Oryzias latipes: one gene and its partners. The protein of the gene in region 2 purifies or fractionates together with the protein of the main gene of each other region. This does not show direct contact. Links are inferred from orthologs where the notes say so. Each region holds a gene or a part of one and is shown on either strand. Other genes may lie near its edges. The genes, in order: aspscr1, ubxn6 and nploc4.

The links.
Region 1: the proteins of ubxn6 (region 2) and aspscr1 purify together in Homo sapiens (affinity purification with mass spectrometry; 4 studies listed by BioGRID and IntAct, counting the BioPlex papers as one, with this or other methods). This does not show direct contact. The link is inferred for Oryzias latipes from reciprocal best matches to the Homo sapiens genes UBXN6 and ASPSCR1.
Region 3: the proteins of ubxn6 (region 2) and nploc4 purify together in Homo sapiens (affinity purification with western blotting; 3 studies listed by BioGRID and IntAct, with this or other methods). This does not show direct contact. The link is inferred for Oryzias latipes from reciprocal best matches to the Homo sapiens genes UBXN6 and NPLOC4.

Annotation. Positions count from the first base shown.
Region 1 is NC_019859.2:28,952,549-28,956,197, reverse strand, and holds the end of aspscr1 (tether containing UBX domain for GLUT4), read left to right. Parts: coding exon 1-11; intron 12-136; coding exon 137-199; intron 200-1,693; coding exon 1,694-1,746; intron 1,747-2,400; coding exon 2,401-2,452; intron 2,453-2,579; coding exon 2,580-2,649; intron 2,650-2,968; coding exon 2,969-3,123; intron 3,124-3,370; coding exon 3,371-3,381; 3' UTR 3,382-3,552; downstream 3,553-3,649. UniProt on the Homo sapiens protein: Tethering protein that sequesters GLUT4-containing vesicles in the cytoplasm in the absence of insulin. Modulates the amount of GLUT4 that is available at the cell surface. Enhances VCP methylation catalyzed by VCPKMT.
Region 2 is NC_019862.2:26,833,273-26,837,503, reverse strand, and holds the start of ubxn6 (UBX domain-containing protein 6), read right to left. Parts: upstream 2,950-4,231; 5' UTR 2,845-2,949; coding exon 2,762-2,844; intron 2,380-2,761; coding exon 2,222-2,379; intron 1,020-2,221; coding exon 955-1,019; intron 837-954; coding exon 708-836; intron 595-707; coding exon 497-594; intron 355-496; coding exon 279-354; intron 207-278; coding exon 122-206; intron 14-121; coding exon 1-13. UniProt on the Homo sapiens protein: May negatively regulate the ATPase activity of VCP, an ATP-driven segregase that associates with different cofactors to control a wide variety of cellular processes.
Region 3 is NC_019877.2:22,105,721-22,109,921, forward strand, and holds the start of nploc4 (nuclear protein localization protein 4 homolog), read right to left. Parts: upstream 2,900-4,201; 5' UTR 2,746-2,899; coding exon 2,731-2,745; intron 1,235-2,730; coding exon 1,154-1,234; intron 1-1,153. UniProt on the Homo sapiens protein: The ternary complex containing UFD1, VCP and NPLOC4 binds ubiquitinated proteins and is necessary for the export of misfolded proteins from the ER to the cytoplasm, where they are degraded by the proteasome.

The DNA of each region.
Region 1 (3,649 bases), on a different chromosome or scaffold from region 2:
TCTGGAGACAGGTTTGAGTTCTGTCGTACCAGGAATTAGATGCAGCCCTCCGACAACCTGGAGGAAAACCCCTCACATACGTGAATGAACTTTGTTCAAGCATAAACTTTGTTTTTTTTTTGTGTCCTTTGTGCAGTTGGTGCTGTCAGACATTTTGTCAGGACTCACCTGGATGACGCTCAGCTCAGTTTTTACCTGTGTAAGTTTGTCTGAGTATCCACAACATCTGCTTTTCCAAAGAACCGTTTGAGCTTAAACATCTGCTTTTTGGATGGAACCAGGATCTTTTACATTCTTATTGAGTGTAATATTGACTGAACTCAACAAACAGTAAATTAAACTGGTAATAATGGAGCATCGGATCATCTGCATAAGGCCTGTTTCATGGAGGGACAAACGCTGAAACTAAGCAAAGACCAAAATATCAAAGAATTCCTCCTCAGCTCCTCCTGTGTTCAACTGAATAGAAAACCTTTCTTTATGATAGACCAATGAAAGATGGAAGTTACATGTTAGATTTAAAGATCCAGGAACCAGACCTGCTCTGCTCCAGAGACTGAACACTTAGAGTGCTGACTGATGGTACAGTTATCTACATGCATCATTTATGGAAGGTCCGATCCAGATTTGGTTCTGGTCCAGGTCTGGTGGTGTAGTGAGAAGCTGCAGGAGTTTCTTCACACATGAGAATCAGAGGCTTTCTTTTTTTCTGCACTCATTTTGGACAATAGCGCCCCCAAATGAGCAGCTGTTGGAACAGCAGTATTTTTTAAAGTGGTTTGATCCACTTCAAGCTTTATTTCTGAGAGCGCCGTGAGTGAAAGCAAACCATACCTGAAAGATTTACAGTTTGGACAGTGTACATAACTGCTAAAGGACAGATCATCATTGAAGGATAAGCCTCTGCATGGGAAGGACCGCCAGACCATAACTGAGTCCCAACAATGACTAGAATGGGCTGCCCCACAGGACAACTCAGAAGCACTCATCCTGGCAACACAGGACCAAACCCTGAGCACTGAAGAGATAGAGGCTCAGATTAGGGCAGCACGATATGAGAAAAACTTGCGATATTAGTGATTAATATTGCGATGACGATGTAACTTGCGGTATATGAACATATAGCAAAACAACCAAAAACATAATTTCCATTTCACTGCAACAGTTTAAAAATTGCATTCCAAATGACCCACATCTACATAGGAGTCGAACATCTAACATGATAGAACTCCATCCGATTGGTCGATGATGTCGAGGAGTCCATTCGATTGGTCAAATACAAAAAGGGATTTGTTTGTTTCGTGAAATACTTCAAGCATCCATAAGATTGTTTTAGCATATTTAAGGTAACCATTTATTGCGATTTTTGCCGTCTTTTGCAATATGCATATTGCACAGCTTGATATTGCGATAACAATAAATTTACAATATATTGTGCAGGCTGTGCAATGAGGCCTCTGAAAAAATCCAGTACATACAGTGGCGGGCGAGGGTGAAAGAGATGCCATTCACCCTGAAACAAGTCTGCTAGGCTTTTGAAGCTGCACTTTCTGAATCCATTCAAACTCACAGGAATCACAGTTTGGACAAACAGAAACCTGTCAGCTGTTCTCACCTGTCCAGAGTGGAAACAGGTGAGTTCATGGATGACTGCTTCCCTGCTTCTAACTCCTGCTCCCCCTCTCTGTTTTAGTCGTGGCTCCTCCAAAAACGATTCTGGACGACCCGTCAGTCACACTCTTCCAGGTCAGATCTTCTCCCTTATTTTGTGACATTTCTCTCTTCACTAAGCGCTGCATCAAGTGCGTTGGCTGACCTCTCATTTCTTCAGAGCTGCTTCACTTTACCCCCAGCACCTCCACCCCCTCTCACTTTGGGGTACAGTAGTTACCCCAGGCCTCACTTGGGGTATGTGCAAGATCTTCATGCACACACATTGGGCTGAGATGAGTTTCCAGGACAACTGATATTCACAGTTTTGTAAATGTTCTATATAAATGTGTACTAGCCCAACTGAACCCAAGGGGTATTTCTTTGTAGGCCAAGTCTCAAATGTGATTGAAATTCTTAATAAAAGGCCTTAAATATAACATTTTTAACCTGGCATAAGTAAGAGAACCCCCCCCCCCCCCCCCCCCCCACCTGCCCTGAAGATGACCCACTGTTTTTTCATGTTGTGTGAGATTTCATTTTCTAAGTGTGACTAAGAACAAATCTGGATGAAGAAAGACACATCTGTTCCTTCCTCTATTTTCTAAATGAAGTTTGGAAAGTATAATTTGGAGATTTCTCTGAAGCTGAGGGTCTCCGTTTCCCTAAAGGCTTTTGGTCTCCATCATTGTGGTGATGTTTCTTTTAGTAGAAACTGATAAGGGTTATCCCCCCCCTCCCCGTCTGCAGGCTGGTCTGTTTCCTGGAGCGCTGCTGTACTTCGGCTCTGACGTCAAAACAGGTTTTTGCCTTTTTACTTCCTTTTTGGTTGCTTTAAACCAAAAGAGCCTTCAGCCTCTGAGCTCGGACGTTTTGTAAAATGACACAACTGTACACATGTTTCTTTTTTTTTTTTCTTTCCTCTGCAGACTTTCACATTCGGAGGGAGCTGCTGAAAACGTCTGTTTTAGCCCTGCAGGCAGACCAGACCCTGACCAGGTACAAGCACTACTGTATGCACAGATGAAGGCCCACATGCATGTCTGCGTGTGTGCATGTCAGACCTTCCTTCACATGTCCAAAAGCATGCACGGCCAGATGCTGAACTGGAAACACACTGTGCGTGTGTGTGAGTGTGCGTGTGTAGGTGTGACACCATTTGTTGTCTCTTCTGAATTAAAAAACCCTCAAAGCATTTTTTTTCTATTTTTTTTTCCTAATTTCTTGGTTTAACTTTGGCTTCTCTTAACAAATAAAGTGATATTTGTTAAAGCGACACCCACTCCTCCACATTCACATCTCTGCCTTCTTCCTGCAGCTTCATCAGCAGCTCCTCGGCTGGACCTGATGAGCCGGTTCTACCCCCAGAACCTGCAACGTCTCCACAGAAACCAGAACCGACTTCACACAACCAGGCTGATAAACCTGCCAGAACCGACCCGGGAAAGGTGCCCAAGTGGCTCAAACTTCCAGGTCAGGAAAAGGCCACAACTGAACAAGTAAACCTCGGTTGTTGTCACGGAAACACATTCAAACATCCTTTACTGTCTGTTTCTGAGCGCATGCACGGCTGTGAGAGCAGCGTGACGTGTCAGCGCCTCGCTTTAGGCCTTCTATTCAGGAAACAGCAGAAGTTACAAAAATTACCATTTGTTTTGCTCCAAACAAGTTTTTCTTTTCTATAAAAACTGTTGATGGAGATGAGTGTTTTTGTCTGCAGGGAAGAAGTGAAGACTGCGTGTGAGGATGAAGACTTGCTGCTCCTTGTCTGAAGGCTTTGTGACCACAGTGGACCCCCCCCCCCCCCCCCCTCACAGCACTCGCCCCCCCCTCATGAATGATTCCTGGCTGCTGTGAACGCTCAGAAAATAAAATACAATAAAGGTTTTGGTTTTAAAATGGGTTTGTTGTCAGTTCAGCCTCTGGCGTGCTTGTGTGTAGGAGAAAGGAGGGCCTCACGAACACATACATGAACTCCTGCGGGATTCAAACCAGGAAC
Region 2 (4,231 bases):
TCCTCTTCCTCTTCTGACATCCATGACAGACAGACACATGTAAGCAAAAGATAAACTAGCAATAATCTCAGATTCAAAAAAAAATAAGAAGAAGGTAAAATAATTGTCTGGATTATTTTACCTTGTCCATCTACTGGGAGCATAATGCTGATGAAGCCCAGAGCCTGCAGAAACTCTCGACTGCCCTCCACACAACGCACTTTCTCCTGAAAGACAAATAATTCTCATTACTTTGTGTGGGCAGAGCCAAGAGTCAAAGGAAACAGTTTGATCGTCACCTGGAAAACCTTGTTGCTGACTCTGACTTTTCTGTACTTTTCCTCTGTTGGATTTTTGCAAATATTTTCAACATATCTGTAAAAACAAAGAGGTATTTTGGAGTCAGAGACCAAACAGTAGAAATTAATGTTTGAACTGTATTCTAATAGGAAGTTAAATCCTCATGAAGGTGGAGTTTGATTAGTCTAATTAATAGAATCAGCAATGAACGTCTTACTTGCTGATGATTTCCACGGCTGCCTTCACTTTCTCTTTATCTTTGTTAAAGGTGTGCACCATCATGACTGAAGCTTCGACTGGATCTTCCTCAAAGCGCTGTTGGTGTAAAAACAGTCCGTATTTTATCAACAACAGAAGCGGGATTATTTTTGTCTGTTTTCAAATCAACGCATCTCGGGGGGGCGGGGCTAAAAGTGCAGGAGACCCACCATCAGGATCGCCTCTTTGATGTGCACTTCCCTCTCACTCTTGGACAGTGTCGCTCCGGTGAGCGGACAGGTAAAGTAAACACCTGACACTGAGAAGCACGCTGGATCTTTCACCGGCACTTTGGATCCCTGAATAAAAGAAAAAATAAAAAACAGACGGTTTTATTGTTACTTATCTGCTGTTCGATGTCACTGTTCACCATAAACATCAGTAAACTGCAAACCCTCTGCTTCATTGCACTCGTACCTCTGCCGTTGCTGCTTTTTCCTTTTCAGCCACTGCCGCTGCCTCCGCTTCCAGCTCTTTTTTGACTGTAAACATAAACAAATGAACTCACAGGAATACTGCTCTTTCACAGACAGAAAGCTCTCCGGAGATTTGGGTGTGACTGGAAACAGTTGAAGGGGCTGGAAACTACACAGCATCGAAACCACACAAGGTCAGAGGTCACCACCTCTCTCTCTGCTGCCCTTGGTGAAAAACATTTGGTCCGTTTAGACCGTTTAGTCCGCAACCTTCAATTCCATTTGGGAAGGAGCCACAAAAGTCTTATTTCTCCCTTTAGAGGAAAAAAAGCACAGATTTGTATTTTTGTTTCTGTTACGACTATGATAAATATGAATCAACTTTTGTTTTTGGCATGGATAAAACATAAAGATAAACATAAAATAGCCTTTTTTCCCCCAAAATCTGAATAGTTTATGACTTGATTCATAGACCCATGACTTCCCTTCAAAAATAAAAAACACCCCATGCCACAAAGGATCCACTCAGTGCAGCGAATGTAGTGTCATTACTTTATTTTACCATTTGTGTTGCATCTCAGCCAGAAATTCATCAATCTAACAAACTAAATTAGAGCTGATTAAGTGACTCTTCTGTATTTTTTAAACCATGAGATGCATTTAAAATCCCTGAGTTCAAAAACAGACGATCTGCGTTATAATCTGATACATCTTAAGTATGAATTCTGATACTGGCATTATATTGATTTTAAACGTAAAAATCCGTCCGTGTTTTGGTACGAATTTGGTAAACTACAAAGGATTGATGGAGAAACTTGCTTTTTACTTTACAGGTACTGTTTATTCTTATTAACCAGAGAAACACAGTAGAAGGGTAAAACAGCCACACGTAGCCTCAGGTTGCAGACCCCTGGTTTTGTGATCCATTTTCATTTATCGACTGACAAAAAACACTACCTCATCTTTAAAAAAATGAATTTATATTATTTTACATTTCTATTGTCATATGTAACCAATCTGTCACTACTTTAGTGATTAAACGAGTCACCAGAAGCTGATTAAACTTATATGATTTAGATCATCATCACCTTCAACACCGTATCAGGTCAGTTCACACCCCCTCAGTTTGGTCTACAAAAGGATCCTCCTTAATATCCATTTTTTGGTCGACAGGATAACAACATCGATGTAATCCAAGTCTGCATGCCATGTCAACCCCCAGAAGACAGCCATCTTCGGGTGGGCTCGTGCAGCCCCCCGTCTCTCACCCTGGATCCTGATCGCGTCCTGGGAGGTGTGCACCTTGGGGCGCTGCTGGTGCTCGATCCTGGCCAGGGCGGCGGCTCCGGCCATCTGCGCTCCTTCGCTGGGAGGACGGCGGTTTTGCCGGGAGTTGCAGTCGCTCCGGGCGGGCTTGGAGTTGGAGCTGAACGGTTTAGTGATGAGAGAAACACGTAAGGATCACAACCACAGGAAGGTTCCGGTATTTAGTAAATGTTATCAGCTTCCGGCAGATGATCCGGAGCTCCGCTCTTTTATTTTTTTAGATAGTTTGCACACGTAATGTAATTTTACCAAATTAGGGGAGGGGTGTCACAAAAGCCGGAATTCTCTTGAAATAATCAGCCGATGGATTTAGTCGGCTACAGTACAATGCTTATCGATCTGTGAGGTGTTCAAATCGATCGACTGTCGATGGGAGGGGATCAGACAGAAACCATGCTTGCACTGTTTTACAATGATCCCTGTTAAGATAGTTAGATTACTTTTAATTAGCCTAGTGACGTTTTTCTAAGCGCCCAGTTTACCTTGAGTCCTCGGTTAGCTTCTTTCCGGGTCCAGCTGATTTAAACTTCACGTCCTTTTTTAAGTCTTCAAAAAACTTCTTCATTTTTGTTTAGCTGTCGTGGGGGGAAAAAAACGAAAAAACGACAACCACTGACTTAGCTAAGGTGCACGTCTAACAGAACCAAAACATAACAGAAGAGGAAACCACTTCCGCCCAGCAAACGCAAGTGTCGCCTTCGTGTGGCTGTAATTGGAACTTCATGTGCAAACGTTTATTTCACATATTCTAAAGTAACTTTTCGGGGAACTATAAAGGTGAAATGTAAAGGTTTAAATATACATTTTTTTGCAAGAATGTTTGTTTATTCAACTATTTATTTTTTCAGATAAGCATCCTACAAGGAAGATGTATTTATTCAAAAAAAATTTCTTTTAACAAACTTTGAATGACCCTTGTCTGACACTCATTCCATACCCATAATAACTTTCATTAAACCAACCTATTGGTTTATAGTCTCAATAGGGGATTTTTTTTGATTATGTTATTTGATTCATTGAAAGTACTTGGCCAAGTCCTGACGTGCTTAAAACAGGACACCATGGCCTTTCCATTGATGTCTTCTGTGTTTAGGTGGGATGACGGGGAAATTTGACTTTTTGGAGAGACAAAATGGAGACTACAGAGGACATAGATAATGATCTGGTTCTCAGGAGGATATAATCTAACTCTTAATTTGTTTTTTAATGTTTTCCAGCATTTTTTTCTATTTTTCTTGGAAAGTAAAAGTCATTTCCTAGCTGGGGGTGATCCCATGTGCATTTTTACTTTTGAAACTCTCTGGATCTGCAGCATGTGTGACTAATATTCACTGGTATTTTAATCTTTCTCATCGTGAAACAAGTCCTCCAAGTAATTTCATTTTCACATTCTTTAAGGCACAGGTTGTTCAGAAGGAGCTGCCAATTGCTTCCAGCCAATTTCTCTATTCAAACTTAACCCTAACGAGGGTTATAGTTGTTCAATAGTGAGGAGGTTTGTTGGATTTCACGCTCAGCTAAAAAAGAAGCACGTTTCATGTCAGTAGAATTGGCCTTTGTCTCTTGAAAAGGTTTTCCTTTACACAGGAAGCCTCATTTTAGTCATTATGAACAGGTACATCCCCAAGTTTCTTTCTGATAGATGTAGCTGGACCAGAAATGTGAAGTTCACCTGTTTTGGTGTTTATGCTTCTCACTCTTGAAACCACCTCACTGATTGGATTATAAAACATGTGCATTTTTAACATCAGATTGTCTCATCTTTCCTTTTTTAAATTATGTTTGATGTTGTAGCAGCTATGAATTCTGCTGCACTGTTGCACAATCCATGCAAAAGGCAATTTAAAGTGCTCCGCAAAAGAGACAGAACCAAAGCCCAGAAACACAAACTACAGTCACACTAGAAAAAATCACAATCAAAGTTTTTTTTACAATATATTGTCAAAAGTTAT
Region 3 (4,201 bases), on a different chromosome or scaffold from region 2:
CGAAAAAGCCGCTGGGTGAGGCCAGCAGTTCTCGTGCCTCATGTTAGGGGGCGCCGGTGAGCCCTGAGATTATGACGCTAAAAAACAATAGAATAAGTGATAGCAAGCGGCAAGTCATTTTCTTCAGAAGGAGCGGCGTATGGACTTTATTTACAAGTAAAGGTAAGATGATAATAATGTTTGTGCTTTTTTCTATGCTGCAGTTTGTATATGAAAAAAAACATGTTGAAATGATATTTTAAACAAAACACGTTAACTGTTGTCAATCAAATGGTGAATAAGTTACTCAGTATGGTTCATATGTTTGTAAATCTGACTGATGACGTCAGTGCCTCACCAGCCATTAACCTCACCGCACGTCACTGTTTTTTAGTAGGTAGGGGTTAGGGCAGGAATGTGGACACAACCACAGACTCATGGTTTGCCTCTGCAGACAGTCTGCTTCAATTAGGATTTCCTGTTTAAAGATTGTTAAACTCCCCCCCCCGGCACCGTCACATACATTCATACATCTTTAATGAAGAGATGCAGAAATGCTCTGTTGAAGTTCAGACCTATTTAAACCTTTAGAAAGTCACTAATCTAAAGCAAGCAGCTTCAGGGCTCGAGTGTAAATTTAAGACAAACAACCCTAAGTTTGCATTACATCCACTCAAAAGTCTGGAGGTGTCAGACGTGTCCCCCCTGGAACCTGCACGACTTCACGCCCTAAACAACAACAGCACCAACTAAAGACGGGGAACAGGACTATAAAACCTAAAAAATGAGGATAGATGTTTGGCTTCTTAAATTACCGCCCTTGAAAACTGGATCATGGGTAAAGCCGTTTCATTTAGGATAATCGACTTTTTTTAAACAAGTTAATTTGCTAGGTGATTTTATTAGTGTTTAACAGTCTGATGTTCAGAAACCTGATGTCTTTTCTGACATTGATTTTCAGGATGCAGGTTTCAGGAAAGAGCCTAGAAACCTGAGCATCCCTGAGTGCAGAGTCGCTCTCTGCTCACGTCTCTGGAATAATTCACTCTGTTTGTTGAGGACAGTTTCACAGGCTCTGCTAAAGACAGACGCTTGATAAAAATCATTTCAACAATCAAAGATTCATTATTCCAGAACAAAATCAAGGGAACGACTCCAGACTTTGGGACATTACCTTTTTTAGAAAAGCAGCTGCCGTCTCCCTCTTGGTAGAAGGAATTTTTCTCATTCCATCAGGGGATTGAACCCTAATGATCTGAAAACAAACAACAACACGTCCTTAAATCATCCACAGCAGCCCGGCCTGTCAGTCAGAGACACAGCACCTGAGTGGACGTGGAGGCAGAGAGCGGTCCGCTGAAACATAAAACACTCAGCTGCCCTGCTCCAACCGTCTCCCAGTAAAATCCAGTGTTTGTTGGACTTCAAATGCAGCCAGTTTTTTAGCAATTTAAAGCCGTTAAGTGGTTTGGAGCCTAATGAGGGCCCTGGGGTCAGCCGGTCCCTTTGGGAGTTCAGAGAACCACGTGGAAACATTTAGAGTCTCAAAGACAGTCTCAAGACCACCTAGGACCGGGTCCAGTTCAAAAACCGCTGGACCTGGACTGCTCCAACCTGGATTCAATTCATTTAGATAGTAAAGAATACATTAAATACAGTTTCTGATTTGTAGTTGATCAGTCTGCCCATTGTTGTGGGGTGAGCTGGATTGTAGACAGGCAACACAAATTCACAAGACGGGAGGCAACAGAAGTTCCAGACAACAAATGTTTACATTTGAAACGGGTCCAGCGGGTTTTCGAACAGGACCTGGTCTGAGGTGGACTCGGCGTGTAAAATGAGATAAAATGACCCTATTTCACATTTTCACAAATCAGACGAAGGTTTCACAAATCAGCAACTGTGTTTTATGTATTCTTTACTATCTAAATCACAAGTGAATCCAGGTTAGTCCAGGTCATGTGGTTTTGGAACAGGACCAGCAGGTCCTAGGTGGTGTTAGTGTGAAAAATGCAGTGGAAAGTTCCTTTAGTGGCCTGGCCAATCAGAAACCAACTTCAGCGTAGTTCACAGATCTTCAAAACATCAGGATGGACTTAGACCTCTTCATGTTGAAAAATTTGAGCTTGGTTTCATCATTTGCAAAACTATATTATTCTTCTGTTTTTATTTTATTTTTTAGAATTGATGTACTTTTTTGGTCAACTGTTGCTTTAAAATATCAGTAAAGAAACAAATATACCCAGACATCAAATCAACTGAATGATGTTTCTGGAGAATTTGTTTCCACAGTACATAAAAACCAGGAACCTTCTCTGGTTCTGTCAGCGGCAGAATTACCGGCCCCAACCCAAATTAAAGGTTCATTTGGAAACCCGTTTAGTAAAGAGAAAAACAAACTTCTGCTGCTGTCACTCACTTATTGTTTTTGAGACACATCATTGTCAGCACTGAGTGACTGTGGCTACATCATCTATTGAAAAAACTGGGATATATTAGAAATAAAACTCACAAATTAAATATTTAAACAAAACGTTTTCCATCTCCGGCTATTTTTAACCGAAGCTTGGAAGCAACCTTGAAAGCTAATCTGAGTGGAAGAGCTCAAAAGGCCGCAGTCACTCTTGCTAATGTTAGCTAACTGCTGAGCTAATTCTGCTGCCTCATCACTCCCGACTTCAGCTAAGAGGCTAGCGACCGTTAGCCTGCTAGCTCCCCGCGCAGAGTCACCCGGCCCGCCGACACGCTTACTATGCTGTCCGCCATGGTTCTTCGTGGAGGATCTCCGTCAGTGTCGCTGTGTTTCAGACCAGATGCAAAGAAACTAACGATCAGGTACAGGCTGAGTAAGAGCAAAGCTCCATCACAGAACTCAGTTTGACACCAGTTCAACAACGGAACGAGCCCGGTGGAAACCACCAATCGGAAAAGAAAGGTTCCCCCTACTTCCGTTTAAAAAAAGTTTTTGTTTCTGTTAGCTTTCACAATTATTAGAAAAGTACTATTCTTGAAAAATAAAAAAATAAATCTTAAATGTCTCAATCCAAATGGTGTTTTTCAAGATGGATTATAATCCATTGATCTAATTTTGAAACGTTTCTTTGTCGGTATCGGGTCGATTCGATTCGATTCTGCCTCAGATAGATCGATCAGGTTGGATCATAGGAACAGAAATAGATTTATTTATTAATTGTATAATCGTTTTACCCCTAATCATATATATTAAGAAATACATTTAAATACATCAGCAACTTACACATATAATTTAAAATATATAGCAATATATGGAGGAAAACCTATTTCTGGATTTTAAATATGTAAAATCTCATAGTTTGTAAATAAACCTTTTCTCATAATTGCTTGTGTCTTTGTTGAAATAGATGTTTTTGGTCATTAAGTAGAAACCCTAAATAAGATTTTTCAACCGACATTTTTTATTATAAGGAAATGGATGAACCCCATATGGCTATGTAATTTATATAACTTAATTGTTGTTGACTGTAATACTACATGGTTGTTTACATAATCCAAAAAAGAAAAAAAGTCTTTGAGTCATAGCTATATGTATTTGTTACATGTGTAACATCATATAAGTCTGGGTGTTACGATTATGGGATAATGATAAATCATGTAATAAAATGGTTACGGTAGAACAGGGGTGGGATTATATAAGTTCGCTTCCTTCCACTCCCTTTACAGCAATATTTATTAATATGTCTAATTATCCTAAGTTTGATTCGTCATTGTATGAATGTATAACTGATGATTGTATTGTTGTTGTGTATTATTATTATTATTTGATTGCTTGAAATAAACCATTTCAAAAAAATAAAATCAAAAAATATTTTAATATTCTGAAAAATATATTACTTCCATATATGGAACATATTGTCAATACATTAAGAGAAAGAAAACACTTGAAGCTCAAAAGCTTCCTGTTACATTAACCCTTCATATACTTGCTTTAAAATTTGCAAAGGCCTTTTTTATAGGTTGATTTCTTTAACTTGATGATAAAAAGGGTTTTTGCTGCTGAAAGTAAAACCTGGTTAGGTAAAAGGTTCAACTACCATTACTTTGTGGGACTAGTTGCTTGTTTAGTACGATTCAAATCATCATTCATTGAGCTCAAAAACATAAAGAGCAAAGCAGATAAAAGGTTCATGGGGTTATCACTCTGACTATGGTAGTCATAAATCTCCATCCACCAATCCTTCTATGT